Linked DNA regions of Danio rerio. The protein of the gene in region 2 interacts with the protein of the main gene of each other region in a biochemical or structural test. Links are inferred from orthologs where the notes say so. Each region holds a gene or a part of one and is shown on either strand. Other genes may lie near its edges.

Region 1 (2,570 bases), on a different chromosome or scaffold from region 2:
TAGAGGCTAAGGATGTGTGTGTGTGTGTGTGTGTATAAGGGGGGAGAGTCAGAGAAAGCGAGCAAGTGAGTCAAAGCTAGGAGGGTATGTGTGTGAATTATTACAGGTATTAATTTGGCTTAGTGTCACAATTTGCCAGCATATTTTGAATAGATTTTATATAACCTCTGAAAGACCGTCAGTTAAGCAATCACATCACGTCCCTTGAGCAAACCTGTGCTGCAAGAATAATGAGTAGTTGCTTCTCCTCTTGGACGCAGTGAAAGAGTCTTTTGTGGTGTTTTATTTGACATATTGGTTAAGTGTTGGGAAGAGTTGTCCTGGTGAAGGCCAAGCATCTCAAAGCAAGGTCCCGGGAAAGGTTAGCACCCAAACATGGCCTGATATTCCACAGTTCATACCTGCACCTCAGTGAGACCTACTGCTCTAAATCTCAAGGTTATAATAATGAACACCACTAACCGAATTACTTTTTTTTTACCCAATTTCATTGTATGCATTCTGGCCTTTTAAAGCAAAGACATGGCCCCTGATTCAGTCACACCTTTCCCTAGTTGGATCTATACGTTTTAGATCAGTGAAGCGAATGCAGTAACTTATAAATTTTTCATTGAGCTCCTTGAGCAGATTATCCTTGCATGCAAGGCTGAATTATTTCAAGTGTAAATATGGGTTTCTCATAGTCACATTTGTCTGGATGTATCTATTAGAAAACATACTGGATTAATGATATCTAAATCTCTGATTCCTGAGATGGTTGCTCAGAACTGACTGACATGGCTGAAAATGATAATAAGATCAGCTAGTTTATGACACCCTTTAAACTAAACTAACTAAACTTGTCTGGATGTAAACAGATAATCAGTAAGCAATATAATTTGGGAATTGTTTGGAGATTTAGGATGAATTAATAGAAACGTTAAACAACGGCTAATTTCCTTTTGCCCCATTCTTTTTGTCTTTCTATTAGAGATGCAAAGACAAGCTGAACTCGCTGGCCATCTCTGTAATGAACCACTGGCCAGGGGTTAAGCTGCGTGTGACAGAGGGCTGGGATGAGGACGGTCACCATTTTGAAGAATCACTCCACTACGAGGGAAGAGCTGTTGATATTACCACCTCTGACCGAGACAAGAGCAAATACGGGACACTGTCTCGCCTAGCTGTGGAGGCTGGATTTGACTGGGTCTATTACGAGTCCAAAGCCCACATTCATTGCTCTGTCAAAGCAGGTAAGACCTCTGGAATGACAAAAAAAAAAAGAAGGCACAATGCTTCACACTCCCTCTCATGTTAAAACAGGAGATTTTAAATTAGAAAATGCTTTTATATATTTGTATTTATTTATTTATTTTTTTTACTGAAGTCTACTAAATCATGAAATATATGTTATTGTAAGAAATCTCTAATGCATATATTTATTATTGTAAATAGGCGATACACAGATCTTACAAAAATATAAAGGTTATATTTCTATCTTAGGACCTGCTTTTAAATTTCTACACCTTAAGAAAGTCTTTTGAAAGATCATTCTGTTAAAACGAGTCACTTAGAAATACTTGCCAGGCCATATAATAACTGATCTTACATCGCCCCTCTCTGTCTCTTTGAAGGAAGCGCTTATCACAAGATCACTCTCTGCTCTGCAGCTCAATGCGCATTGCACAGACACTAGAGATGCGCCAAAATCTAGGGTTTTACACACGAAAATTCGAAAGTAAAACAATTTGTGTTTATTATTATTGGAGCATGTGACATTTAGTGCGCTATTACGGTGTAATTCTCGTCTGGATTTTTTGTCTAATAAACGTATTATTATTGACGGAAGCTAAATTAGCTGGAACGCATTGACAATCCCTCATAAGCTTTCGCCAGATCTTATCATTTAAATTCTAAACACATTTACAAATACATTACCGGCTTCGACGAGAACCAGCTCCAACCCGTTCGCCAAATCTGTTTCTCAATTGTCACCATCTTTATTTCATGCCCTAGAATCTTAAGAGAGGATTAGACGAGAAGTCCATTCTATAGCTCTGTTTACCGACCCAAGAGATCGGAATGTGAAGAGATCCCACAAGGCCCGAATTATTGTCATTAAGCTTGACAACGGAGAGCATGATGGTTTGAGGAAAATGAAAGGAAAGAAGAAGAGGGCATTGATTGACTACCCCTAGCATTTCTAATTTACATTCAAATCTACACCATTAGAGCCTTAGAAAAAAAAAGTGTCTGGGGCTGAGCAAATACTATTTGAGCCTGCTTGGGGTTTTTCTCATTCTATAAGTGTGAATTGTCACATAGAAGTTTCTGCACCTGAGCAAATATGAAAGAGGCGCAAGGGAAAGGCAGAAGTGTCCTTTTCCAAGAGTGCTCTGTACACAAGCTGCATTAGAATGACAATGTCCGGCCTTTATTGGTTTTTAATTAGAGCAGTCCAGGCTCTTTCCTCCTTCATCTCACACAAAGGCATTGAAGTTTTTTAGAGAAGCTTTACAGCCTAATTCCCGTTGCCACGTTTTCTTTAGTTTATTCAGTCTTTAATTCCTTATGTGCGCGTTTCTCTAGTT
Region 2 (4,356 bases):
GTGATAATTTGGTTGCTCTGTGTGAATATTTTTGCCTTTAAATGCATCTCGTCGATATCTTTACCTTTTAATTAGCTCTGTGACATTGACATTGGTTGACTCCTGATACTCAATGTTAAAAACATAAAAGGAACCAAAGAAAACACAGAGATGGCTGCAGAGAAATTTAGCTTATCAATGCATTGTGTCACTTTCTCCTCAATACTGACCATTCAAATACCAAAACTGAACAGAATATATATATATATATATATATATATATATATATATATATATATATATATATATATATATATATATATATATATATATATATATATACTGTATATATAGCAACATAAAGCATCAGAGTACATGGGGTAATAATGGTGGTTGAGCAGTAATTTATCATTTATTATCACAGTAATTATCTGTAATGGGTACATAAAGTAAATTACTGTAATTTATTCTTTGCACTACAAAATTTCATACAAATCCTGCTCCTTTTACAGTAAAATACTGTTTCCTTTTATTACAGCAAAACACTGGCTATTTTACAGTTATTTACTGCATAATCTACATTAAGGGTTAACAGTGTAGTTGATGTGTTTATTAACATAACAATGGATAATACATATATTACAGTATTATTTTTTTAAACCTTTGTTAACATTGGTTAATAAAAATAAAGTTGTTTATTGTTCACTGTACACAGCATGAATTTGGATGTTGATGCATTAGTAAATGTTAAACTATGATAAACATATGCAGTACACGTATGGTTCATTATTAGTTCACGTTAATAAGTGTATTAACTAATGAAGCTTATGTATATGCATATAATTTAAATATGTCAAATATTTATAAATAATTTATACAAATTTTAAAAAGTTTAATATATAAATTTAAAATAAATATAATAAATGTAATATATAAGAAAAGCCTGAAAAATAATTTAGAATAATAGTAGCCTTTATAATATAAATAAAATATAAGATAAATAAATGTAATATATCTTATAACAAACAATAAGAAAGAAAGAAAGAAAGAAAGAAAGAAAGAAAGAAAGAAAGAAAGAAAGAAAGAAAGAAATTAAGAAAGAAAGAAAGAAAGAAAGAAAGAAAGAAAGAAATTAAGAAAGAAAGAAAGAAAGAAAGAAAGAAAGAAAAAAAGAAAGAAAGAAAGAAAGAAAGAAAGAAAGAAAGAAAGAAAGAAAGTGCTGTGTCTGTCCTGTCTCCAGAAATAAACTCTCCTCTTCTTTGCTCTCTCCGCTTCCTCCGCGCGCTCGGAGTCGGACTGCGCTCTTGCTCTTGTTGGCCCGCGCGCCTCGGTCGGACCCTGCAGAAAGTGGGCTTTGCTTCTTTAAGACTCCCCTGAAGTTTGAGATGCACACACGAGGGCTCTCGGCTTGGGTGGTCTCTCTACTTTGGTGAGCTGTTGCTAAGCAGCTAATAATAGTCGTGTTTGCTGAGTAATTTTTGCCCTTCTGGAACCAATCAGAGCGCAGGAACCCCGGCCATCTGACAGCCCCAGGGGCGGGCTCTCGAGCGCTTTGGCCACGCCCCTCCTCCTCTGTCTCCGAATGGAGAGTGATCTTTTTTCACATCTATTGAATCTCCCAGAGATCGCCTTGTCGCGCGGCCTGAGGAGGGACCACATAGATCACAGAAATGCTTCAGCCACCGAGGGATCGACGTTTGCAGAGCATCCACTGATCGCGCGAACTTTCCAGCGGACGCCGTGAAAGTGGGCAATTGTTGGAGACCTCCAGATTCGCGAAATGTTGCAATGGAAGGCGCAGACTCTGACTCGCCGTCTCAAACAGGAGTATGAAGTGCTTCGCGGATCTGGGATCAACGAGAGACAAACTTGGTTTTCTTCGGATATCACTAAACGCTCGCGGGGAAATACACTAGCGCGGATACCGAGACGCTCGGCGCAGACCTTGCAACATGGCCTCGGCTGTTAATGTCTCCTCCGAGCAGGAAAACAGAGACCCCGATCGGCCGAGGGTAACGCGGAGAAATAGGGGCAACTATCGGACCGCCGCGGCGGATTTGGAGTATTTGCAGCGGCCGAGCTATTGCGATGCCGCCTTTGCGCTGGAGCAGATATCAGAGGTGCTTTTATGCTTGCCCTGTTGGATTTTGTTGGGAATGCGCTGACAAAGTGCTCAACTTTAGTGAAGTCGCTAGGTAACGGGATAGCCACGGGACCGATGCGGGACCAACCTGTAGCCGCAGCGTTTGCGCTCCGACCAACCTAACCTAGGCTATCTGTCAGAAGCGAAGCTGAGCTTTGAAAGTGAAGCGGAGGCTCTTCAGATTTGTTGGTCAAGTTCGCCCTGACCGACTGATTGAAGCCCCCCTCAGATAGGATCTACACGGGGAGTAGTTTTCGTCCCGCACGATCCATGTGGCTGCCCTCTTCCGTTCACAAATATTGTCGTAACTCCCTCTGTGATGGCTGCAGCACTTCCCAAATCGCATCACATCGCGTCCCTTCTGCTATGCGACCCACGTGCATCTCCGGCTTTGGATATTGTAACCTGTTTCTGTGCTACAGTGTCCAAAGGATGCAGTCTGTCACATTGTAGCCATAGTCAGTTTAATGTCTGATAGTTTGTGCGTGGGTCTACAACTCATTTGAATTATACTACACAGCGAGAGAATAGGAGTAGTAGTATGGCAAGCTGTTTTCACATTCATTCATTACAACTTGGCAGTAGTTGTTTTTGTGTGTCCAATTTCATTAGCAGAAAGATCCTCTTTACACATGGTGTGCAGCTTTTTTGATACAACAACTAGCAGAAAATGTTAAATTCAATTGTCTAAATGGAAGCAAGCACTTTCAACCTCTTCTAGAGGTTGTTAAAAACACATTCAGTTGGGTTGTTTGAATTATTTGGAACAGCCACAAAACATGACCTGCTCTTTTGCCAATTGGCCTAATGTTTAAACACTTTGATGTGTTTCTGACATACACGAGCCAGATGGGATTTAAACTTTGCCTTTTCCAGTAAGTTTGGGTCGAAGGCAAAAAAGCACAATGGCATCAACAGCGCTCTGTGTAGATTTGCAGCTATGAGGGCAGAAAGGAAAGCTGCTGCTCTGTATCATTTTTGGTAGCCTCTCTCTGCTAAATTGTTCAATATTTTTTGTAACATTAGATTGAAAGTTCAGAAAACCTTCATTTGTGCACACACTCAAAATATCACAAAAGCAATTGAAAAAGCCTAAACAGATTAAAACACCAGGTGTGAACCGGAATGTGTCATCCTGGTCTACTGGTTATCCAGGGGATAAAAACTCAACTTAATATTTGGCCAAATAGCAGTTACCACAGAGATGTGTTTTGCTTTTGTGATTCATATTAGACTAATATATTTTACCAGTGTTATATATATATATATATATATATATATATATATATATATATATATATATATATATATATATATATATACACATATACATATATATATATAATTTTAGTGTTAATAAAAAACTAAGATTATCCTAAGTAGTTTATTCAGCTTGCCATAGTTCTTACTCCTTTGCTAAGTCACAATCAAAATTTTGACAAATATGTATTTAAATTATCGGTGGCAGTGGCTCAATATGAACTACGAGTTTCCATATAGTGAACATAGCAGCTTTTCAGGCATTTATAAGACAACTTACAATGTAAAAAATGCAGGGTTTCACGCTATTCCTTCATGTTGTTCCAACACAATTCGTTTAAGTTTACTTGATTGTTTATTAAAAATAAAGTGGATTGAACATAAAACTATTAAGTTGTCCCAAAAAAAGCCCCAAGAGTTGCATTGAGTCAGCTCATTTTAAATAAGTCATTTGAACTAGTAAAAAAAAAAAAAAAAAAAAAAATATATATATATATATATATATATATATATATATATATATATATATATATATATATATATATATATATATATATATATATATATATAAATACAGTTAAACTAGTTACAGGAATGACTATGTATTTTGGCTAAAATCTTACTGACAAATGAATCTGATTGTACACTAGTGACTAATAAACACAAGTATATAATACAGGTGCAAATGGAATAGACTGTAGTAAGTGATGGTAGATACTAGCAACTAATGAATTGTTACAGATGAAACTGAAGTTGGACTGATGTCTGAGTATTTTGGGAGACCACTGACACTGGTTATAACAGGGTAGTTACATACTATTGAAATAGTGACCCTAAATTATTATATTAAATAGTTATTACAAGGAAACTGTCACATAAAAAGATACTAGCCAGTCACTATTAGATTATTCACTAGTAATTACAAAGTACTTGTTATGTAAATATAGTATTAAAGAATAGATGTTTAAATGGCT

Evidence for each region.
Region 1: the proteins of ptch1 (region 2) and shha are reported together in a solved structure, tested with the Homo sapiens proteins (5 studies listed by BioGRID and IntAct, with this or other methods). The link is inferred for Danio rerio from reciprocal best matches to the Homo sapiens genes PTCH1 and SHH.

The regions. Positions count from the first base shown.
Region 1 is NC_133182.1:41,234,990-41,237,559, forward strand, and holds part of shha (sonic hedgehog protein precursor), read left to right. Parts: intron 1-970; coding exon 971-1,232; intron 1,233-2,570.
Region 2 is NC_133183.1:32,041,572-32,045,927, forward strand, and holds the start of ptch1 (protein patched homolog 1), read left to right. Parts: upstream 1-1,542; 5' UTR 1,543-1,931; coding exon 1,932-2,099; intron 2,100-4,356.